Linked DNA regions of Canis lupus familiaris. The main gene of each other region encodes a partner of the protein of the gene in region 5 in a complex. Links are inferred from orthologs where the notes say so. Each region holds a gene or a part of one and is shown on either strand. Other genes may lie near its edges. The genes, in order: SF3B4, HTATSF1, SF3B3, DDX46, SF3A1 and SF3A2.

The links.
Region 1: SF3A1 (region 5) and SF3B4 share a complex: the UniProt entries of both Homo sapiens proteins name them as parts of the 17S U2 SnRNP complex. The link is inferred for Canis lupus familiaris from reciprocal best matches to the Homo sapiens genes SF3A1 and SF3B4.
Region 2: SF3A1 (region 5) and HTATSF1 share a complex: the UniProt entries of both Homo sapiens proteins name them as parts of the 17S U2 SnRNP complex. The link is inferred for Canis lupus familiaris from reciprocal best matches to the Homo sapiens genes SF3A1 and HTATSF1.
Region 3: SF3A1 (region 5) and SF3B3 share a complex: the UniProt entries of both Homo sapiens proteins name them as parts of the 17S U2 SnRNP complex. The link is inferred for Canis lupus familiaris from reciprocal best matches to the Homo sapiens genes SF3A1 and SF3B3.
Region 4: SF3A1 (region 5) and DDX46 share a complex: the UniProt entries of both Homo sapiens proteins name them as parts of the 17S U2 SnRNP complex. The link is inferred for Canis lupus familiaris from reciprocal best matches to the Homo sapiens genes SF3A1 and DDX46.
Region 6: SF3A1 (region 5) and SF3A2 share a complex: the UniProt entries of both Homo sapiens proteins name them as parts of the SF3A subcomplex of the 17S U2 SnRNP complex. The link is inferred for Canis lupus familiaris from reciprocal best matches to the Homo sapiens genes SF3A1 and SF3A2.

The regions. Positions count from the first base shown.
Region 1 is NC_049238.1:59,867,874-59,871,897, reverse strand, and holds the start of SF3B4 (splicing factor 3B subunit 4), read left to right. Parts: upstream 1-1,224; 5' UTR 1,225-1,347; coding exon 1,348-1,381; intron 1,382-1,828; coding exon 1,829-1,957; intron 1,958-2,225; coding exon 2,226-2,768; intron 2,769-3,091; coding exon 3,092-3,298; intron 3,299-4,024. Other genes in the region: MTMR11 (myotubularin-related protein 11), read left to right, coding at 1-22. UniProt on the Homo sapiens protein: Component of the 17S U2 SnRNP complex of the spliceosome, a large ribonucleoprotein complex that removes introns from transcribed pre-mRNAs.
Region 2 is NC_049260.1:107,799,828-107,804,099, reverse strand, and holds the start of HTATSF1 (HIV Tat-specific factor 1), read right to left. Parts: upstream 2,801-4,272; 5' UTR 2,532-2,800; intron 2,339-2,531; 5' UTR 2,277-2,338; coding exon 2,091-2,276; intron 383-2,090; coding exon 202-382; intron 1-201. UniProt on the Homo sapiens protein: Component of the 17S U2 SnRNP complex of the spliceosome, a large ribonucleoprotein complex that removes introns from transcribed pre-mRNAs.
Region 3 is NC_049226.1:77,109,314-77,112,813, forward strand, and holds part of SF3B3 (splicing factor 3B subunit 3), read left to right. Parts: intron 1-616; coding exon 617-791; intron 792-1,970; coding exon 1,971-2,176; intron 2,177-2,273; coding exon 2,274-2,430; intron 2,431-3,404; coding exon 3,405-3,500. UniProt on the Homo sapiens protein: Component of the 17S U2 SnRNP complex of the spliceosome, a large ribonucleoprotein complex that removes introns from transcribed pre-mRNAs.
Region 4 is NC_049232.1:22,851,523-22,855,022, forward strand, and holds part of DDX46 (probable ATP-dependent RNA helicase DDX46), read left to right. Parts: intron 1-290; coding exon 291-479; intron 480-3,500. UniProt on the Homo sapiens protein: Component of the 17S U2 SnRNP complex of the spliceosome, a large ribonucleoprotein complex that removes introns from transcribed pre-mRNAs.
Region 5 is NC_049247.1:23,899,586-23,903,085, reverse strand, and holds part of SF3A1 (splicing factor 3A subunit 1), read left to right. Parts: intron 1-771; coding exon 772-846; intron 847-1,576; coding exon 1,577-1,727; intron 1,728-2,048; coding exon 2,049-2,242; intron 2,243-3,128; coding exon 3,129-3,246; intron 3,247-3,500. UniProt on the Homo sapiens protein: Component of the 17S U2 SnRNP complex of the spliceosome, a large ribonucleoprotein complex that removes introns from transcribed pre-mRNAs.
Region 6 is NC_049241.1:57,268,151-57,272,309, reverse strand, and holds the start of SF3A2 (splicing factor 3A subunit 2), read left to right. Parts: upstream 1-1,359; 5' UTR 1,360-1,455; coding exon of another isoform or gene 1,456-1,549; 5' UTR 1,550-1,798; exon of another isoform or gene 1,799-1,906; intron 1,907-1,973; exon of another isoform or gene 1,974-2,140; intron 2,141-2,356; exon of another isoform or gene 2,357-2,460; intron 2,461-4,159. Other genes in the region: PLEKHJ1 (pleckstrin homology domain-containing family J member 1), read right to left, coding at 1-58, 130-220, 771-837, 1,292-1,359, 1,456-1,549. UniProt on the Homo sapiens protein: Component of the 17S U2 SnRNP complex of the spliceosome, a large ribonucleoprotein complex that removes introns from transcribed pre-mRNAs.

The DNA.
Region 1 (4,024 bases), on a different chromosome or scaffold from region 5:
CATTCTTTCCCAGTCCCGTTGAAATTGTTGTCTTTTTTATGGGCATGGCAGAGGGGGTCCGGGGTGAGGGAAGGTTCTGTCTAATCCTCCAATTTTTCTTATCTTGGTCTTGCTGTCTCAGCTTTTGACACTCCAGCCCTCAACAAGCTCACTGACCTTTCTGTTGCAGATGGGTGGTGCTAACCTTCTCCAACTCTTGCCCTGTCCTGTTTCATTCTCGAGATATGTTTCTCATGATTTGAGGAATTAAGAAACAAAAGCAATCCAGAATACGATTACCTTTGTTCTTTTCAGGGCAATTCCATCCCTCTGGATACCCAGCCGATAAGCTGTGAGATGAGAGATGCTGTTCATCAGTTCAAAGGAGATGGCCTACAGAACTCATTCTCACCTCCTCTTGCTGCTTAATTCCAATTTCTGTTTCTTCCCTCTGGTTTTCTATGGGTATGCTAGTGGGTATGGGACACATCCTGTCTCTCCCAATTGTATATTTTGTAGTGACATTTCTATTTAACGAGTTCATTAAAGTACAGTTGCTGGCATTATCTCTGGTGTCTGAATAAAAGATCCTAAGTAAAAAAGCGATGATAAACCGGGAGAAGAAGGGACCCACCATATTATTGTTCAGGAAATATGGAGATAGGTCAGGCTGTCCACACTAATCGTTTCGTAAGATGGGGCAAAGAGCATGCAAAGACATGGTTGGTGGGCCCGGGGTATTCTGGCGGTTGAAACTGAGGCCCCTGGGCTGCAATGTCAGGTACCCTCAGCTCTGGGCACACATCATCTCTGAGCCTCAGGTTTCCATCTCCCCCATGCAACAGGATCATGTGAGCTCCGACGCCACTCCAGCTCAGACACTCCGCAATCCTCTCCCCAGAAGCCGCGGGCCACGGTGGAGGGCTGCCTCCGCACCCTAAGGCAGCCGAATCCTTGGGTTGGAGGGTTTCCTCAGCACACCCTTCTCCGGGGAACAAAAGGATAGTTTGCCAACAAAATATTTCTAAATAAAGTTTTGTTCTTTTAGCTTTTGAGTTTACATTTTTAGGAGTACTGTGATCCTTTAACGTCCAGCACTGCCTTAAGAGGGTCTGGGCATTTCCGTTCGGCCCTCATCGCTTTGACCGCTAGCAGCGGCAAATCCGCGCAGAACCACGGACCGGAGAACGCGGCCCCACAAGCCGCATCAAGTCTCCGCAACTCCTAAGATGGCCGGGGCCTCTTCCGGCTCCTCCCCCATCAGGCCCCGCCCACCGCCCTCGTGACTACCTTCGCCCCGGAAGTGGAAGTACTGACTGAGGTCAGAGGGCGGGATCGCTGCCTGGAGACGGCGGGAGCTCTTTCGCCATGGCGGCCGGCCCGATCTCCGAGCGGAACCAGGGTAGTTGGAGGGGATGAGGCCAGGGAGGCTGGGAGGCCTCGAGGAAGGCCAGCCGTGTTTTCGCCGGGGCAGGAGATCGGATCCCCCCGGAGGGCGCGAACCCGGCCCCCGTGCCGGCTGGGGGTGGGGTGGCCGGGTGCAGGCTGAGGCCTGTGGTTGTGATGCTCTGTCCAATCTCCTGCGCCTTCCCATTCAAAAAAACAAAACAAAACAAAAACCCAAACGAAAACCAAAAACAAAGCAATTCACAGAGAATTTGCAGCAGAACCTTCAGTTAGACTTAAGAAGGTTCTTTAGTTCTGGAATGAGAGAGATGTAAGGGCTTACTCTCACGTCTTTTTCCTTTTTTGTTCCTATATCCCATCTCCACTCCCAGTTCCCCCGCCTGTCACTTCCTTCTTTCCCGTCGTTGTCTCATCCCTGCCATAATCTGCTCATTTCTCTTAGATGCCACTGTCTACGTCGGGGGACTGGATGAGAAGGTTAGCGAACCCCTGCTGTGGGAGCTTTTTCTCCAGGCAGGGCCAGTAGTCAACACCCACATGCCAAAGGATAGAGTCACAGGTCAGCACCAAGGTGAGTACATCACAAGAGGCGTGTTTATGCATTGAGGGGACAAGCTGCTCCTGGAGGGTTCCGGCAGTATTCATAGGCAGTATTCATAGCCGTTTTGGAATCACCTGTAGATTCTTCCTTTTAAGTGTCATTCAATGTTTGCTTCTGGAACCATTCCCAGTTGAAGTGAGGTGGTTATTTCATGTTCTTTGTGCTTTGGAAGGTGCATGAGTTACACACGAAATTGAATCACTTCACTTAAGTTAATCTCTGCTTTTCTACTTCCCAGGCTATGGCTTTGTGGAATTCCTGAGTGAGGAAGATGCTGACTATGCCATTAAGATCATGAACATGATCAAACTATATGGGAAGCCAATACGAGTGAACAAGGCATCGGCTCACAACAAGAACCTGGACGTGGGGGCCAACATTTTCATTGGCAATCTGGACCCAGAAATTGATGAGAAGCTGCTTTATGATACTTTCAGCGCCTTCGGGGTCATCTTACAAACCCCTAAGATTATGCGGGACCCTGATACAGGCAACTCCAAAGGTTATGCCTTTATTAATTTTGCTTCATTTGACGCTTCGGATGCAGCTATTGAGGCCATGAATGGGCAGTATCTCTGTAATCGCCCCATTACTGTGTCCTATGCCTTCAAGAAGGACTCGAAAGGGGAGCGCCACGGCTCAGCAGCTGAACGACTTCTAGCAGCCCAGAACCCACTCTCCCAGGCTGACCGCCCTCATCAGCTGTTTGCAGATGCACCCCCTCCGCCTTCAGCCCCCAATCCTGTCGTATCATCATTGGGGTCTGGGCTCCCGCCACCAGGTAAAGCTTTTATTCAAAGTATTTTTGTCTTGGGCTTGGGGTGTGGTGGTGAGCGGGGGCAAGGGGAGGAGAAAAGAACTTGATAAAGGGGGACATGGAGTCAGTAGGTGATGAGAAAGAGAGTGAGGGGTGACAGTTGTGGGGAGAAAGTTGTTGAGTTGAAGAGGCTGAAGTTGTTCCTAGTTATCTAGTATTGCTTCTGATTTTAGAGAGCTGGGAGGAAGGGAAGAGAACTTATCCTGCCTGAGGAGGCCAGATTGAACGGGCTTTCTAAAGACATTCTCTCCTTACTATCGTTAACTTGTCTTTCATTTCCTCTATAGGCATGCCTCCTCCTGGGTCCTTCCCACCCCCGGTGCCGCCTCCTGGAGCCCTTCCACCCGGGATACCCCCAGCCATGCCCCCGCCACCTATGCCTCCCGGTGCTGGAGGACACGGTCCACCATCAGCAGGAACCCCAGGGGCTGGACATCCTGGACATGGACACTCGCATCCTCACCCATTCCCACCAAGTGGGATGCCCCATCCAGGTGAGTGTTCTTTGCTGGGGAAAAGGATAGATAAGCTTGTTGGAGGAGCTCCACTGCCACATGCAGTGCTGCCCTCATCCCTCAGCAGTAATAGTAGATAGTCCCGGAGCTCTGCTTTTTTTTCAGACATTCTTTTATAAAAACAAACACGAGACACTGTTCTCTGTTTACTTTAACAGCTACCACCCTGTCTCCATTTATTATACAAGTTTTTCCAAAGAGTGTAACTGTACTCGTTTGCTTTTTCCTTTAACTTTTACTTCATTTTTCTCCTCCGACTTCTACCCCAAAGCAGTGACCTAATTGCCAAATAGAGGGGGCACTTCCATTCTTTACCTGGTTTGCCATTTGGTGTACTTGAAACTGGGTGTGTTGTCCTTTTTGAAAAGCTTGCCTCTTGGTGTTTCTGGATTTTTCATCTGTCTCAGACTCCTTAAAGTTAGCCACATTAGGGATCCCTGGGTGGCGCAGCGGTTTGGCGCCTGTCTTTGGCCCAGGGCGCGATCCTGGAGACCCGGGATCGAATCCCACATCGGGCTCCCGGTGCATGGAGCCTGCTTCTCCCTCTGCCTGTGTCTCTGCCTCTCTCTCTCTGTGTGACTATCGTAAATTAAAAAAAAAAAAAAAAAAAAAGTTAGCCACATTAGTAGGCTTTTCTCCCTCTCCATGTAGCTGGGTTTTTGTATCTGGTTCTCTTTTCTTTTTTTTTTTTTAATTTTTATTTAT
Region 2 (4,272 bases), on a different chromosome or scaffold from region 5:
GAGGTACAGAATTGAAATAGCCTCCCCAATGCCCACAAGTCAGTGTGCAAGCCAATGGATAAATCTAAATAATAATAATAAAAAAACCCTTCATCTTATGATTCCTTCAAGACTATTATAATTCTTCAAATAGTAATCATATATACACATGCTAACATTTAACATTTTTATGTTCATATTTTGCAAGCTAAATCCACTTGCCTGGTTCAGCCTTTCTCTTTTCTCCCCTCTTTTTGGGATCATTGGGTTCAGGGGTTTTTCTTTGTGGCGGTTCTTCTGCAGTCCTAGCACTGACTTCTTGCACATTTGCAGTAGAGCTAGATGCCCCCTCATTAGAAAAGCCATAATTGGCCTGATATGTAGCAATGAAATCTTCAGTGATCTAAACAAAAAATTCAGCACACACACATATAGAAATTTGAAAATGACTTCTTCCCATAAAAAGTGTACATTGTGATAAATTTCTGCATATTTGGTTATACAACTGAACACAGAAATGTTTCTACAGATAATGGCTGTAGTAAATAAAGTGTAAATGCAAGAATAGTCATGTTATACAGAAAATGTGCATAAAATGACAAAAAAAAATAAGATGGGTATTTGGATTATCAACACAAAACTCTTAAGGAAATTATTGGCACTGTAAGTGGTGTTGGCGCATTTTCTAGTTGATTCATTTATAAATCACTACCTCTCTACAGTCTACTTGAGTAAGGCTACAAGTACATACAATAAAGGAAGTACCAGATAACAATATAACAAAAACCAACAGTCAATAACCTAACAACAGAATCAATTTTTCTTTTGCTACAGAGATACACAAAAGTATACACGCATTAAATATTTGAGTGTCTGTATGTAGAGAACACACAAGATAAAACTGATTTAGTATATAGAGAATAGAACTAACGATTGTAAAACTAAATGCTTATTTTCACTCTCTCACTAATTAAATGACACAATCTTTTAGTGTCAGAACAAACTAAGAACAAATTCAACTCACATCCATCTATCCTCCTGGCTTTTAGGGGAAAAAAAGCCCAGTTGCACAATGAAAGAAATAGGAGTCTGCCTTCATTCTGGTCAATGTTACGCACATACAGGAGTGGGGAATTTTTAAAACTCAAAGTTTCAAGAGGTATGGGTTTCAATAACATAAAAAGATAAGAGTCACAAATGAATCCATTATCAGACTATTGTTAAAAGTCCTCAGGAAACCAAATCTGCTCTGGAGCTGGGATGACCAGAACCAGCAAAATAATAAATGTAACAATGTAAAGGGAATGAAGTATACAAAAACAAAAAGGAAAATAAAAAAATTGAAACAAATAATTTTAAGAATAACAGTCAAACTACACAATGGAGACATGGCTTATATTACCAGCTTGCAAGTTGATTGCTACTGGTATATTTTCCCACCCACATGAGACTTTGATTAACAGGGTACTTTTGCTGAAAAGTTTGCAGAACCAAGTTAACACCGGTTACATTACTTACAACCTGGAATAAAATACTTAACAATTTCCAAGCACTCTACACAAATATACACAGATATCTTCTATCCATATTCCGTGCCTGTGGTTGTATGGTTCGAACACACATGCCTAGGGACAAAATCTGATAGGAAAGAGAGGTGCAGATCAAGTTCAATCTATAAAGGGATATAAATGGCTATTTTTTTTTCAAAACCAAGAAGCTGCATTTTGCACAAAGTACACAAGCTAAGCAAACATCAGAATTCCTAGGGTATATGAGGTTGGCTATCCAAGAGACCCACAGCTACTAAATTTGCTCTCGGTGTTTTTCCTCTTTGCAATAAAAAGCAGTAACCAATGCAATAACCAACCATGACCTTCACAGACAAAATTAATAAGGCATAGAAGAGATTTAAGAATTAAATTACATTCGAGACATCTCGGTAAAGATCTACGTTTCTCTAACATCGGTTCGGCAACAGAAACAACAAAAAGAAACGTCACTATCCATGGGGCCCTAACTCAAGACCTCAGCAAAGAAAAACGGAAAAGGGGCGCCCCGCGAGGCTGGCCAGGCGGGCCCGCTCTGCAGTGCCGCCCGTGCCACCGTCGTACCTTGGGGAACCAAGCCTTCTTGTCCAGGTCCCACTCGTACGGGGTGTCAGCCGGCTGCTGCCCGAAAGAATCGGGTTCTCCACTGGGATCTTTCTGGGTGTCGCCGTCCTTGGCGTCGCCGTACAATTCTTGCATTCGCAACTGCTCATCAAACTCGTCGTTCCCATCCAAGTTGTTGCCGCTCATGTTGCCGACTTAGGCAAGGGACAGGGTCCGCGCGAGCAAAGAGGCCGAGATGCAGCCGGAGGCTATAGAGAAAGGGAGGTCAGTCGCACTGGGCCCGCGTCCCGCCGCCCCCCGGCACGCCTCCCCGCGGCGCCCCAGCAGCCCCCGGGAGGTCGGGGCCGACCGGCGCCCGCGCCGCCCCCTGCTCCGCCCGCTCTCCCACCGCGCGCGCGCGCGCGCGCCGCAGGCTGCAGCCCCTGCCGCGCCGCCGCCCACCTGGCTCGCTCCACCGGGCCTCGGCGCCGCGGCTCGACCCAGGGCGTGGCGGGAGCGCGCACGCGCGCCGCCGCCGCCCCCGCCGCCGACCGGGTCGGAGTCGCCTGCAGCCTCTGCAACCCCCGCGGCTCCCGCGGCTCCCGCGGCCCCCGTGGCCCTCGCGGCAACGTCAAGAGGTTGCCGGAAAACTGAGGCCCGCTCAGGCTGACGCAGTCGCCATTGTTGGCACGTCGAGACGTCGCGGGTCGCGCCGACACGCCTCCAGTGGCGTCAATAAGCGCCGACGCGGGCGGGCAGTGCTGGACCCTAGGGGCGGGGCGTCTTGCGGGGAGCGCTGCTAATCGCCCGCCGCTGCCCACCCGGGCCTCCTGGGCGGGGCGGGGCGGGGCGGGGTGGGGGCGCGGGGGCCGCTGCGCTTAGGGACCTCGGGCTCGGTGGAGGCCGCGGTGGGCGGCAGCCGGAGGCGTGGGAATGTTCCCACTCGGCGCGCGCCATCTTGGGGGAGTGGATGGGGCGGGCGGGACGGATTTGTGTTCCTGAGAAAAAGACAGGCCTCCTTCCCCCGTTCCGCTTGGGAAACGCGACTTTGGCTTATTTCTTTATGATTTCCCTAGGATGGGCGCCGGCTCTTGTTCAGCTTCTTGGCCTAAGCTCCCAGCCCAGGGTGTGGTGTCTAGTGCGTATTGAATGAGCGAGTGAGCAAATGAATGAATGAATGAATGAACGAACGAACGGGGTGGGGACCAACCTTCTTTTCCCAGCCTGAGGCCCCTCCTTTATCTCTGGTACTTTCTCAGGCTGAAGATCGACTCTGGAAAGGCGGAGGGGGACAGGGGGGAGCAGTAGTTTTCTGCCTCTTGTACGCCACGATTCAGAGGTGCTCAAGCTCCAAACCTGAAACTTAAAACATCCAAGTATAAGCACCAGCTTTACTGGCCCAGCAACTTCGGGTTTTTTGTCTTTCTTTTAGAAAAGTACAGAATATTTTCCCTCTACACAGCTTTTTATCAAATTACATATTTATCGTAGAAAATAAAAAGGTCTGTATTTTTTTTTAATCGGGCAGATATTTATTGAGCAACCAAATGCCAGGGACTGTGCTAGGCTCTGGCGAGCCAGCAGCCAACAACACAGGCACAGCTCAAGGGAGACGTACTTGTTTATGTAGATGATTCTATCAACATTTGTTGTAGTAAAAACAACAGTTTAAAAGGGTTTTTAAAAATCCCTTTAAAAATAACAATGATAAACTTCTTATGTACAAACGTAAAATTTTATAAACCAGACGTGAGGGTAAAAAGCTTACCAGAAGAAATTAGTTCTGCTATCCCAGTGATCTTTTACTTCTAAATATAGCAGTTGCGTATGGGCTCTAGAAAATCTTAACTCCCCAAATACCGACTGTGAGAATATGGTTTCAACCCTTAAAGCGATTTTTAAATAGTAGCTTGGGTTTGAGTTGGTTTTTTTTTTTTTTAAGTACATTTCTTTTTCATGAAGTTCTTGTTCTGTTCCAGACTACAGGAGAACTGAACTTGCATGCTTTTTTATATATATAATATAGATAACATGAGTTTTATTAGGCTCACTTATTTAAGCATTGCTAAGTATTTCTTCCTGGATCCCAAAATAGTGTACAGCTGTTTTCAGCAATGTGTTATTGGGCTCCCATTTCATTCCTGAGTGAGTTCACAGCATAGGTGATAATATGTTACACAGCCCTACTACTGCTCGTGACCCT
Region 3 (3,500 bases), on a different chromosome or scaffold from region 5:
AGACTGAGCCACCCAGGTGTGCCCCAAGTGACTATATTTTTAAGAGTACTTAGGTTCTGCTTATTTTGGACATAGTTTGGCTTAGGCACATCTCTTGGTCTCATTTGACAAAGGTTGTAGGTCCCCTACTCACCATCTCTTTTTGTATGGTTGCAGGTTTCCTGTTTTAGGTGATTTTTGTTCAGGAGAGCACCCACTTTATTTTAGGAAACACAGCACAAATACTACATGTTGAGGCAGTTTCAGTAATTTAGAATGAATTTGGAATTGATGTTCTTTTTTTCAGAGTTTGTCAATAATAAGAGGAAGTTTTAACTCTTTACTGTCGCGTTATCACTGGAGTGACAAAAAAAAAAATTTCACTAGTGAAAACCAGAATTGCAAAAAAAAAAAAAGGAAAAGAAAACCAGAATTGCTGTTGCTGAAGTAGAAGGCCCTTCTAGGATTTCCTTGTTTTCTGTGCAGAATCTTCTAGGTTAGAAGGCTGGTATTTGATGTTAATTTATGCTAACATGAGAGCTTTAGAGATTGATGCATTTGTGTGACTGGTTTTATACTTTTACCTGAGTTTCTAGACCCTGAGTGATCTATTAATTCCCTGCCTTTTGCACAATAGGATTTTAGCGTTGGAGAAGCTAGGTGCTGTCTTCAATCAAGTAGCCTTTCCACTGCAGTACACACCCAGGAAATTTGTCATTCACCCTGAGAGCAACAACCTTATCATAATTGAGACAGACCACAATGCCTATACTGAAGCGACAAAGGCTCAGAGGAAGCAGCAGATGGCAGAGGTAATGTAATGAGACTGGCCTTCAAGGTTCAGCTAAAAAGCATTCATGTGAAATTTTGTTGAAAAGTTTAAACTCGTGTAATTGTTGATTATATTCTGTTAGATTAAAAAAGACCCAGGCTGGGATGCCTGGGTGACTCAGAGGTTGAGTGTTTTGCCTTTGCTCAGAGTGTGATCTCGGGGTCTGGTGATCGAGTCCCACATCAGGCTCCCTGTGAGGAACCTGTTTCTGTCTCTGCCTCCTCTCTCTCTCTCTCTCTCTCTCTCTCTCTCTCTCTCATGAATAAATAAAATGTTAAAAAAAAAAAGACCCAGGCTTTTGTCCGGTCCTTTAAGCAGACCCCTTTGCCTGAATCCTTGTTTTTAGAGATTATCTTGTGACTCAGGACTAATACACTGACCTGGGTTTATTCAGTATTCAGCTTTCCTTTTGAAACAGAGTTCTTCAGTCCTTGAGCTTCCCAAACAGTTTATGTATGTGTTTCCTGGATTCAGGCCCAAAGGAGACAGATTTCATTTTCTCCGTAACACTAGTTCTTTCCAGAAATCATCTCCTAGCAAAAAAACAAATAGCTCCAACCATGTAAAGCTGTGTCTGGCTTGGAAGAGATGAGACAAGGATTTGTAGCAAGGGAAATCAGATGCGATAGGTAGAAAAGTGGTGTTTTCATTTTATGTATCTCAGACCACTCAGGTATTTGCCGTAGTTGATGTTAGGGTTTTTTTAGGCATTAAAAAATGAAGTACCTGGTTTCCCCTTTAGTGGTTTTCCCTCTTCCCCTTATCTGTATACCTCTCCCTTTAATCTTTACTTTATAGGAGATTTGTTTTTGGCCTACAGACTTGGCTACTTACATGATATGAATTCCCCCTGGAGGTGTTGTATATTTGTCCACTTCTCACCCACTACCTACCTCTGAATATACCGACTCTTCCTTTTTTTTTTTTTTTTTTTTTAAGGTTTTATTTATTTATTCGTGAGAGATAGAGAGAGGCAGAGATCTAGGCAGAGGGAGATGCAGGCTCCTCTCAGGGAGCCTGATGCAGGACTTGATCCTTGGACCCCGGGATCACATCCTGAGCCCATGGCAGACCCTCAGCCGCTGAGCCACCCAGGTGTCCCATCTTCCCTGTTTTGTGTGTTTGTTTTGTGTTTTTGTGATTGATTGATTGATTTTAGGAAATGGTAGAAGCAGCAGGAGAAGATGAGCGGGAGCTTGCTGCTGAAATGGCAGCAGCATTCCTCAATGAAAACCTCCCTGAGTCCATTTTTGGAGCTCCTAAGGCTGGCAATGGACAGTGGGCTTCTGTGATCCGAGTGATGAATCCTATTCAAGGGAACACGCTGGACCTTGTCCAGCTAGAACAGAATGAGGCTGCTTTTAGGTAAGGAGCACAGGATGTCCAAGGTTTTGGGAGCTGGAATGAGAATACTTTATATTATAACTAATGCCTGACTCCTGCTTCTTTCTCTTTTTTGCAGTGTGGCTGTGTGTAGGTTTTCTAACACTGGTGATGATTGGTATGTCTTGGTGGGTGTGGCCAAAGACCTGATCCTCAACCCCAGGTCTGTGGCAGGGGGCTTTGTCTATACCTACAAGCTCGTGAACAATGGGGAAAAACTGGAGTTTTTGCACAAGGTAGGAACCAGCCAGTGGTACTCCTGTGTCTCTGGTCCAACTGAAGTCTCCCACTTTTGCTTAAGTTGTGGGTCAGGTCTTTTGGTGACCATTTTGGGAGCCAGCTCATTGATTATGTTCCGTCTCTTGGTGGGACACAGAAACGCTCTGGCTTTCATGCTCCAGTGAAGCTCCACTGCCCGGGGGTCCACAGGAAGCCTGTGTTCTAACCATCCACAATGATGACTTAGATACACACCGAATTGGCCCCTTGTTTATTGCTTTTACTAAGCAGACAGCAATTTGTGACCAAAATCTAGTAGATCTAAATAATTAATAATCTCTGGAGAAATGCCTTTAATGGATAGTTTCCCTTTGGAAAAATAAAGTTCTGGGGATGGTGGTGGTGGTTGCACAACAGTGAAAATGTTTGATGTTATTGAATTGTATACTTAAAAATGGAAAATTTTATGTGTATTTTATCGCAGTTTTAAAAATAAGGGAAAAATTTTCCTGTTCTTCCACATGGACAACAAATGCATGTAGTTCCTCTAGCCCTTTGAAGCACAGGGAAGTGTCCCCTACAAAATAACTACTTGTGGACTTTTTTTTGTGTTAAACTCATTGTATCTCCCTTAAAACTAAGAAGTCACTTGTCACTCCTTTCCCATCCCTCCACAACCAGCAGTCACTTTTTTGATATTGAGGCTTCACTGTTAGTGGCACCAGTTGAATTAACACAGGCTCTAAGACCACATTCATTAGGCTCCTTTGACTTGTGACATTGATCCATTTGCTAAGTGATTTGCAGTGTGTGGGACCTGTTTACGCAACCACCCCATTTCCTAGAGACTGTTGTATGTGTGGTTTATTTCTCTGATGAGCCAAAGGTGATCACTCACTGTTTCTTGTAAAAACATTTTTGGTTGAGAGGGTGGGGCTAGCCTATGGCTGGTGTCCTAATAGCTACATTACCTGCTTTTTTTTCCTCACAGACTCCAGTGGAAGAGGTCCCTGCTGCCATTGCCCCATTCCAAGGGAGAGTATTGATTGGTGTGGGGAAGCTTCTGCGAGTTTATGACCTGGGGAAG
Region 4 (3,500 bases), on a different chromosome or scaffold from region 5:
TGTCTCTCATCTCTTCATTTACCAGAATGCAAGTTGCTTAGGGCCCCAAGGCAGGAGTTTGGTCTATTCTAAAATTTTTGCTGTCCTTGCTTCCTTTTCAGTATAGTTTTTTCCTGTCTACACAGACTGTAGATAGCTACAGGCATCATTCCTTTCCCCAGATTTTAAGAGTTGATGAATAAAAAGTCATTTCAGTGTTTGTCTGTTAAGATCTTTCGGGGAAAATCTGAGTAATTAAATATAGAAGCTACCTGTGTTTGCTAAACCTAATCTTGAACTTAACATTCTAGCCACTATCGAAAGCGATCAGCATCAAGGGGGCGCTCTGGAAGTCGTTCTAGAAGTCGCTCACCCTCAGACAAAAGAAGTAAACGTGGAGATGACAGACGGTCTAGAAGCAGAGATAGAGATAGAAGGAGAGAGAGGTCTCGTAGCAGAGATAAAAGAAGATCTCGGTCAAGAGACCGGAAGCGCCTGAGGTAAGACTAGTTTCCTAAAAATGATAAAGTGGGCCTTCTCAGGTAAATCAGGCTTCTTCAAAAGTGGAATTTAGTGGCCCCTTTGTGGGCATTCTCCTTAAACCCAGTTCATTTGATGAGGTCCAGAGGTGATTTGCCTGAAGCAAAGACTATTAAACGGTGTTTTAAGTTTGGAAACGTTAGGCTATATTTCTTGTAATCCAGAGAGAATCCCCAGAGTCCCCTGAGAAAGGTGGTTTTATTTTATTTTATTATTTTATTATTATTATTATTTTTTAAAGATTTATTTATTCATGAGAAACACACACACACACACACACACACACACACACACAGAGGCAGAGACACAGGCAGAGGGAGAAGCAGGCTCCATGCAAGGAGCCTGATGTGGGACTCGATCCCTGGTCTCCAGGATCACACCATGGGCTGCAGGCGGCGCTAAACCGCTGCGCCACTGGGGCTGCCCTGAGAAAGGTTTTAAAAACAAGTGAAAGGTAAGGTAATATGTCATCAGGGCTGTTCTGTTCTAATTCTGTCCCAAGAGAGCTGACCACTGTGTTCAGAACAGCCACTAAAGGCAACAGGAGAAGGAAAAGGGCAGAGCCATCTGCAATCCCTGTTTGCTGTTTAACACTTTAAAGAAAAATGGGGGATCCCTGGGTGGCTCACCAGTTTAGTGCCTGCCTTCAGCCCAGGTCCTGATCCTGGAGTCCCGGGGTTAAGTCCCGCATCGGGCTCCCTGCATGGGGCCTGCTTCTCCCTCTGCCTGTGTCTCTGCCTGTCTCTCTGTTTCTCATGAATGAAAAAATCTTAAAAAAAAAAAAAAAAAAGAAAAGAAAAAAAAAAAAGAAAAATGGCTTTTTAAAAGCTTTTTATTTTTAAGTAATTTCTTTACCCAACATGGGCTCAAACTTATAACTCTGAGATCAAGAATTGCATTCTCTACAGACTGAGCCAGCTAAGCACACCTGGCCCACCCGGCCCACCCACCTCCCACTTTTTAATTTCTAAAAAAAATTCTATTTATTTATTTAAAATATTTTATTTTTAAGTAATGTCTGCACACAATGTGGTGCTTGAGCTTGCAACCTCAAAATGAAGAGTTGCATACTCTACCAACTGAGCCAATCAGGCAACCCTGTTTGACACTGTTTTATTTATTTTTTAAGATTTTTAAAAAAGTTTATTTATTAGAGAGAGAGAGAGAGAGAGAGAAAGAAAAAGAAAGAAAGAAAGAAAGAAAGAAAGAAAGAAAGAAAGAAAGAGAAAAGAAAAGGAAAGGAAAGGAAAGAAAAGAAAAGAAAAGAAAAGAAAAGAAAAGAAAGGAAAAGAAAAGAAAAGAAAAGAAAAGAAAAGAAAAGAAAAGAAAAGAAGAAAAGAAAGAAAAGAAAAGAAGCAGGCTCCATGCTGGGAGCCTGACGTGGGACTCGATCCCGGGTCTCCAGGATCACACCCTGGGCTGAAGGTGGCGCTAAACCACTAAGCCACCGGGGCTGCCCTTGGTAGTTTAAAAAACTATTTTTTTTTTTTTAATTTTTATTTATTTATGATAGTCACAGAGAGAGAGAGAGAGAGAGGCAGAGACACAGGCAGAGGGAGAAGCAGGCTCCATGCACCGGGAGCCCGATGTGGAATTTGATCCCGGGTCTCCAGGATCGCGCCCTGGGCCAAAGGCAGGCGCCAAACCGCTGCGCCACCCAGGGATCCCAAAAAACTATTTTAGATTTAAACAAAAGAACCTCCTAATTTTTATTTTACTTTCACTTGCTTACATATTCCTCCGCATCAGTCAAGCAGCTGTAACCTTTCTAGCTGTTGAAAACATTGTAAATAAAAATAATCTTCCTTACACCAAAAAATCGTTTGATAAGTTTCTTATTATTATAATAGGAAATTAGACAAAGTTATACATGTGCTATGAACTGATCACAGAAAAAAACTGTCTTTTTCAAACAGCGGAAGAAGAAATTGAAAAGGTATTACAGGGTACTCAGGGAAAATACTCATTTATGAAAATGTGCATAGTGCTAACTTACTCAGTTTTGTATCATGTGGTGCCAGGAACAGTTTCATAAAATTCATTCATGTACTTGTTAAGTGAAATTGATTTTTTGGGATTTGGTCTTTGACTTTCAGGAGTGAAAGTAGAATCACAAGAAGAGCAAGAAGGATTTTGAGATTATCTAAGTGAATTCTCCATATTATATAGATGAGGAAGCTGTGACCCAGAGAGTTGATCTGCCCTGTGTCATCTCACAGTCAGCTCTAGAATAGAAATTGTTTCCTAGTCTTTTTTTTTTTTTTTTTTAAGATTTTATTTATTTATTCATGAGAGACACAGAGAGAGGCAGAGATACAGGCAGAGAGAGAAGCAGGCTCCATGCAGGGAGCCTGATGTGGGACTCGAACCCACATGATAATCCTAGTGTAAACTCTAGGATTACACCTGAGCTGAAGGAGGCAACGAACTGCTGAGGCACTCAGGCATCCCTGTCTCCTAGTCTTAATTTCTGTGATCTTTCCTTTTTTTTTTTTTTTTTTTTTTTTTTTTAAGATTTTATTTATTCATGAGAGACACATAGAGGCAGAGACATAGAGGGAGAAGCAGGATTCATGCAGGAAGCTTGATGTGGGACTCCATCCCAGGACCTCACACCGTGAGCCAAAGGCAGACATTCACCCAGGCGCCCCTTCTGTGATCTTTCCATAGCCCCATTGTGCCCATCCTTATACTTAGGTTTTGGCTGACTGAAATTTGGATTTTCTACTCTAGACCATAGATTTTAAAAAGATTTATTATCACAGATTTGCTGTTTTTCAACAAATACCATTTTGGCATTAGTATTGTCATTTTTTTCTTTAACCACTTGTAAGAATTGGCTTTACTTGTTCCTTGTTTATCTGACTTGATGGTTAATTGAAATCTCAGCCTTTAATAATGGTAATAGTTAAAAGGGTTCTTTCAATACGGGACAGAACCATTATCTGAAAGAAATTTTACTTGGTTCATAGAATGAATGA
Region 5 (3,500 bases):
TGGTGTCTGTCTCTGGTCATTGGAGACCATAGGAATAGATTTATTCATGAGGTAGAGGTATAGGGAGGATAGAGTGGGGCTGAACCCACTTTACTAGTGACAATAAATACTATTGGGAATTTATGCTGTTTTGAACAAAGCCATCATTCGTTGTCTCATCAAATATATGTTCGTTGTCAGACTTTATTTCAAATGCTAGACATAAAATAGTAAACTAAAGATAGAAATCTCAAAAAAAAAAAAATAAAAAATAAAGATAGAAATCTCTGTTTTTGTGTAGTTTCTGTTCCAGTGAGGGGGACAAGCAAGTGCAACGTCAGTGGATGTCCGATGGTAATAAATACTACAGAGAATAGAAAGCAGGGGACGGAATGTAGGAGATGAAGTCTGTAGGCGGCAGTCTGGAGTCCGGGTTGTCAGGGGAGCATGTGCAAAAGGGTAGGAACAGCCCTGTGCCCTGAGACCAGCCAGCACATGTACACTATATGCTGAGTGATGAGCAGTGCTTTTGCCTATTTTCCTGCCGATCCTTGCAACAGTTTTTTAAGTTGACTCTGCCAGCTTTAAGTGGTGGTGTCACTATTTATAGAAGGCAGCCAAGTTACAGAGGTTAAGTAACTTGTCCAAAGTCACACAGCAAAGTGGAGCTGGAATTGGGACCTGGAACCCCATCCTCTCACTTTTCCTGTGCCTTTCTACAGGTCCCGGAAGGCCACTTGTTTGTCCTGTATTGTGTGGCACTGACACCTGCTTTAACTCTTCATATTGCAGATCTTGATTCCCCCTAAAGGCTTATTTACAAAGCTCAAGAAAGAGGCGGAGAACCCCCGAGAAGTTTTGGACCAGGTAAACTGAATTATAACTAGTTAGTGGTGGTGTGGGTTGTTTCATACTTGGAATAAGGCTCTGAGGTGGGACCTTATTCAGTTCAGGCACAGGAGTGGTGGGAAGAAAGGCCTTATGGCCACAAAGGCTGAAGAACCCTGGACTCTGCTCTCTTTCTACTTTCTCTCAGCTTTACTGGATCTTCCTCTTTTCTGTCCTCACTAGAAGCCAACTGATTATTAGATTAGATGATTAGAAGCCAACTCCTGAATAGGCTTGCTGGTGACAAATGCCTTTTGCTGCCCCAAGTTTTCAGAGTCAAGGAGAGAGAAGGCATATTGGTGCTGCCTGTTCTGGGTGGCTGCATGAAGCCTTTGTTTCTCAGGTTCTCAGATTGCTGCTTCTCTTGTGGGTATGTGTTGTCACATACACTTCCTGGGACAGAGTTTGCTGCTCTGTGAGCATAGACCTCCTTGCCAACTCAAGCAGAAAACTGAGGTTATAACAAATGGCTGCCCTTGGGGCCCAGACACAAGGTTTCTGTGACATTTAGAATTTTTATTCTTTCCAATCTATGGGTCTGACTGAAACCAAATGCAAATACCAGCGTTTACTCCGGAAGTTCTCCCTGTAGACAGAACAGCCTCCTGTTTCAAAGGAGATGCTGGATTTGGTGAAGGGCCTGGAGGTGACCGCCCCATCAGCAGCAGACCCTGATCAGCTTAGCATCATGCCATTTCTGTCTCTTCAGGTGTGTTACCGGGTGGAGTGGGCCAAGTTCCAGGAGCGAGAGAGGAAGAAGGAAGAGGAGGAAAAGGAGAAGGAACGGGTGGCTTATGCACAGATCGACTGGCATGATTTTGTGGTGGTGGAAACCGTGGACTTCCAACCCAATGAACAAGGTAGATCTGTGACTCCAGATGAGTAGCCAGGAGCCATCCTGGAACATCTCAGGTATACATCTTTTCCCAGGGAGCAGCACAGTCCCGCAGAGAGTTTTATCTGTCTGTTTCATCTCTGCTATCAGAATCCTTCAAATTTGCCACATTGCCCCCACTTAAATCCAATAGAGCAAACATCGTGCCAGATGTTGGGTGGACGTCTGGAGCTGGGAGAGAAATCGGGCCCTTGGAGAGCTTACAGTGTGGGGAGGGCAGACTGATGGGTCTTTGCTAAGGATTGTCTGTGGAGGTTGCCTTTGACTCTGAATCACCCTCTACCAGGGAATTTCCCTCCCCCCACCACCCCGGAGGAGCTGGGGGCCCGAATCCTCATTCAGGAGCGCTATGAGAAGTTTGGGGAAAGTGAAGAGGTTGAAATGGAGGTCGAGTCTGATGAAGAGGATGAGAAACAGGAGAAGGCAGAGGAGCCTCCTTCCCAGTTGGACCAGGATACTCAAGTGCAAGATATGGATGAGGTATATGCTCCTGGGAGGTCCTGCAAGCTGGCCTTTCCCTCTGGAGCTTAAGGAGATGGTGCTTTCCACAAGTCAGATCCAGCTCCCTTATGAACCTTGAAAGGAGGCATGGGTCCCGAAAAGGGATCCCAGCTGAGCAGCTGCCCAAACCCAGGCAGCATAGAGCCTCTTTCTAGCTCTGGCAACAAAGATTCATTCACAGGCAAGGATCTAAAAGCTGTGCTGGCTCTGTTCTGTGACCTTCCCCCCTTGGCCCAGAGGCCCTATTCTCCCCTGCCCCCATGCCAGCTCTCAGTAAGGGAACACTTTTTGCCACATGCTTTGATGCATTTGAGCCTAGGCCCAGATGATTAGTGGTTCCCAGAGCTTTTCTCAGTGTAGACTGTGCTTCTTTTCGGCCGCCTCTACCACCCCTACCCCCCCTCCCGCCCCAGGCAGGCATAGAGTCTCCGGAGCCAAGCTGCTCTCCTCCTCTTGGAAAGAAATTGTGTGTGAGAAGAAAGGCCCCTGTGTCTGTGGGAATTAACTTTTTCTCTCCCTCCCAGCATTGCTCCATGAGTAGCTACCATTGAGCACTGACTTGCCCCCCGCACCCTCCCTCCCCAGCATGTTTAAGTGCCCTTGGTCTCCTGGGACTGCCTGGTGCCAGCTGCTGGAAATGCCTGGGCGGAGTGTTAGCACCACGGCCCCCAGCACTCCCATTCATGTTGTGAGGAAACAGCTTGGCCAGCTGCCGGCTGGCCTCGGCTGCCCCCAGAGGCTTAGCACATAGATGCTGGCTGGCAAAGACCTAAGTTCCTTGCCACCCTGAGAGCCATCAGGGCTTAGCTTCAGGGAGGTGGCCTGTCAGCCATTCTCTGAGTCCTACCATTGCTTTGCTTTTCAGGGTTCAGATGATGAAGAAGAAGGGCAGAAAGTGCCCCCACCCCCAGAGACACCGATGCCGCCTCCTCTGCCCCCAACTCCAGACCAGGTCATTGTTCGGAAGGACTATGACCCCAAAGGTAGGGCCTGCATTCCTGCCTTCAAACGTTCCCCAGAGCTATCTGTTTCTAGGAGAGAGTGAGGTGGCTTGTCTCGAAGGCATTGATAACCCATCCTTCGCAGGCCTAGCGGTGGGGAACAGAGCTGAGTCATCTCTGGTGCCGAAGTGCCTTGCACAGTACCAGGTATAGCATGGCACTAAATGGATGTGTCTCAGATGAGTGATGTGTAAATGAAACAACAGTCTTGACCCTGACTACTTTCCAGTGTTCTC
Region 6 (4,159 bases), on a different chromosome or scaffold from region 5:
AGTCATCTTCTGGATCTCATTCCTGTAGAATATGAGGCTTCTCCGCATGAACTCGTAGCTGGGGGAGAAAGTGGAATGTGCTCACTCAGGCCCCCCCCTCCCCAGCCCCTGGGCAGGCCCACACCTCACCTGGCTCGACGCAGAGCCCCCATCCACTCCTGACACTGCTCCTCACTGCAGCACTCAAAGTGGTACTTCCTCTCTGGGTCCTCCATGAAGCCTGCGGAGGGAGCGGTCTGTCTGTCCCATCTCACTGCCCGCCGCCCCCTCCGAAGCCCCCCCACGGGCCTCCACCTTCCTCCAGGCCAAGACGACTCCCAGCGGCTGAGTGGACTGAATGGTGCCCCCCACACAGTAGTTCCAGTCCTAACCCTAGAGCCTGTGGCCCAGATACAGAACCCTTCAGAGTGCGGCTACTTAATAAGTCAGGGGAGAATAGGCGGCACAGGACGTCCCCGAGAACATGAAGGGGGGACACGAACACCCTAGGAGTCCTTCTGCAGAGGCAAGGGCGCTGCCAGCTGCCGGCCACCCCGGAAGCCAGGCTCGCCTGGGACAACCTCCCCGACAAGGATCCCCCGCAGGCCCAATGACGTCACTTCTCCAGCCCCAGGGCGCCCACAGCAGGGCCCGGCAGCCCAGTGCAGCACTGCCCAACAGGAGACAAGGTCCTAGAGGAGCTGCACCCCGGCAGCCCGAGGGAAGGGTGGACTTTGTCTCCGCGCAGACCCGCGGCCGGGCCGAAGGGGCAGGGCGGGCGCGGCACTCACAGATGGAGAAGCCGCTGGGCTCTTCCTGGGTGATTCTGCAGCGCTCCAGCAGCAGGGCTCCGACGGGCTGCGGGAGGGGGCGAGTGGGGACCGGCCTCGTGGGGACCCGGGCCCCCGCCCCCGCCGGACCCCAAAGCCCGCCCGGCGCGCCCCCCCCCACACCTGTCCGGGCCCCGCTCCCGGCCCCTCCCCCCGCCCCGACTCCTGTCCGGGCCCCGCCCCCGGCCCCTCCCTCCCCTCCCCCCCAGGCCCCCTCCCTTCCCGGCCCCGACACCTGTCCCGGCCCCTCCCCCGGCCCCGCCCTCCCCTCCCCCCCCCCAGGCCCCCCTCCCTCCCCGGCCCCGACACCTGTCCCGGCCCCGCCCCCCGGCCCCGCCCTCCCCTCCCCCCGCCAGGCCCCGCTCCCTTCCCGGCCCCGACACCTGTCCCGGCCCCGCCCCCGGCCCCTCCCCCGGCCCCGCCCTCCCCGCCCCCCGGGCCCCCGCTCTCTTCCCGGCCCCGACCCCCGCCCGTCGGCCTACCTCGGCCTCGTCCGTCCGGAAGTAGAAGAGGAAGTTGACCACCAGCTTCACCAGCCGCCGCTTCAGCACTGCGGGCACAGGGCGGGCTCACGCGGGCTCGGCCGCCACCCACCCCCGCCCGGCCAGCCCGCCCGCCCGCCCGCCCGGCGCTCCGGCCCGCTCACCACTGCCTTTCTTGGGGCCTCGCATGCCCAGCTCGGCCGCCAGTTCGGCCGGCTGCCGGGACAGCGCCTGCAGCTCCTTCTCGTTGTAGCGCATGGCGCTGCCAGGACCCAAAACGCGGAGCGCGGGCCGCGCCCTCCCGGCCGCCGTCCCCTCTCGCGCCAAAAAAGTCCTACAGTGCCGTCCCGGAAGCGCCGTCGCGGCCACTGCGCTTGCGCGGCCCCGAGACACGCATTGTGGTGTTGGCCGGCGCGCGGCGCTAAGCCAGGCCCGCGTGGGGGAGCACGCGATACCGGCCGACACGGACGGCCGTTATAAATAACCACGCAGTCAGCTGGATCCGAGGTGGGAACCCAGGAAGGCAGCCTCACGACCGTGGCGCCCTCTACCGACGAGCCCACGCCCGCCCTCCCGCGGAAACCGGCCCGGCGCCCGCTAGGCGTGGAGAGCCTGGTGCGCACGCGCACTCCCGAGTTCCGGCCCTTATTCCCAGCCCCGCCCCCTTTCCTCGCCCTCTCGAGCATCAGGTCCGCCTCGCCTGGCGAAGCACGCATGCGCACACGGGAAGCCCTCACCCCTCTCCCCAGACCCCACCGTTTGCCCCCGGAAGCGCTTCTGTAGCCCGCGACGCGCCTGCGCATAACGTCTTCGTGGCAGCGGCGGGCGCGGGGTGAGGAGTCGCGCGGGGTGAGGATCCGGGCTGGCCGAGCGCGGCGGTCCCGGGGCCCTGGCTTCCCCGGACGGGAGCGGCGGGGGGCGGGGGGCTCTCGGGTTCGCGGCGCCGCCGGGCCCCAGCTCCCTGGCCGCGCGCGGGGTCGGGCCCGACGAGTCCCGCCTCCTCGGAAGTGTGCGGGTCGGGTCGGGGCCCGGCGGCGCCGTGGGGTCCCTGGCGGCGGGTCGGGGGGGGGGGGGAGGCCGAGGGGGCGCCCGCGACGGGCCCGCGCCCTGGCGTCCCGGGGCTGACGTTGACTTCGGTTGTCCGCGAACGTGCGTGCTGAGAATTTAGGGTAACAAGCTCTAGACTGAGCATCCCTCTTGGGGCCCCCAGGCGGCCCAGGGCGTGACCCCGGGGTCCCGGGATCGAATCCCCCATCGGGCTCCGCGCAGGGGGCCTGCTGCTCCTCTGCCTGTGTCTGCCTCTCTCTGTGTGTCTCTCATGAATAAATACAATCTTTAAAAAAAAAAAAAAGATTTGTATTTGTTTATTAGAGAGGGGGAGGTAGAGTACAAGCAGGGGGAGGAGAGGGAGAAGCAGGCTGACTGCTGAGCGGGGAGCCCGGGACCCTGGGGTCACGACCTGAGCCACCCGCGCCTCCCGATGGTCTCTGTCCACGGGGGTCTCTGTCCTTTTTTCCGTCCGAACAATGAGATTCTCTCAAGCCCCGGGCCCGGGCTGTTTCCCTTTCTTTGGGAATGCTTTCAGATTTCTTTGAGGATGCCTTCCATGCTTCTTGCTGTTCTCGCTCTGAAATTTCATCTAAGTCCTGTTCTCTTACTTTCCCCCCTGTTTTGCGTTTCTTTGTAAAAGGTTGGTTTGACTTGTACCCGCAAGCTCTTAAGTTCAGCTGTTTCCAAAGGTCTTGGGTTTGGGTTTTAACTGCCCTTGCTAACCTTTGGTGCCGTGCTCTGCATTGGAGGTGTAGTAACTCTCACCCTGTTTTGTTTTGTTTTGTTTTAATTTTTATTTATTTATGATAGATATATATATAGAGAGAGAGGCAGAGACAAAGGCAGAGGAGAGGGAGAAGCAGGCTCCATGTGCCGGGAGCCCGACGTGAGACTCGATCCCGGGACTCCAGGATCACGCCCTGACCGCTGAGCCACCCAGGGATCCCCCCTCTCACCCTCTAATTAAGGAGGATGCTAACATTGCCTGGGGGGGTGGGGGGTGGCTAGCGGATGTGTCTGTGTTTGAGTTCCCAGACTCTAACCTAGCGAGTCTCACTGCCCAGCAGGCCTAGGAAACCAGACAGGCCTAGGTTTCTTTGGGGGTGCAGGGGACTCCCACTGTCAGTGTCTGAGAATACCGTTTCTAGCGTGCTCTCACTGTGTCCCTGGATTGGGGACCTCCAGGTGGACCCTCTGGGCAAGCTGCAGGGGCAGGGCAGGTGTTCATGGAATTCCTTCTTTACAGCCTGGCCCTCACTCCACTCCCTGGCTCTCCAACTCTCTCCCTCTGTGCCTGCCCCTCTAAGTGGAGCGGCCCTTTGTTCAGTTCTTCTGAGACTGTAAAACCTACCCAGGCAGTCGGGTGAGGGCCCCTGGGCTCCTGTAGGGGATGACCTCCCCTGGGGAGGCCAGGAACACTCTGCAGTGGGCTACAAGCAACTGGCACCTTGGGTCTCCAGTGGCTACTGCTTCCCTTTAACTTGGTGACCAGCTCAGTGTTTGCGTTCCGTCTTCCTGAGCCCGTCACTCTAAACGTGGACCCTTTTTGCAACACCCGTGTTGCCTTTGCCCCAGCCAGCCACTAGCATTTGAGGGGCTTATCTGATGGCTTAACAAGGAACTGGAATCCTCACCAGATGGGGTGGGGGGGGGGATCTCCTGGCTTTGTTAACACATTACTTTCCAAGTCAGTCTTATGGCTCTTACTGGCTCCCCACCGCTGGGTCAGTGGGGTGTTCTGGAGATGTCACTGCTAGAACAGGTGACAGGAAGTGAGGGCATGTCTCTGTCCTGGCCCCTGGGTCCCAGCCAAACTGG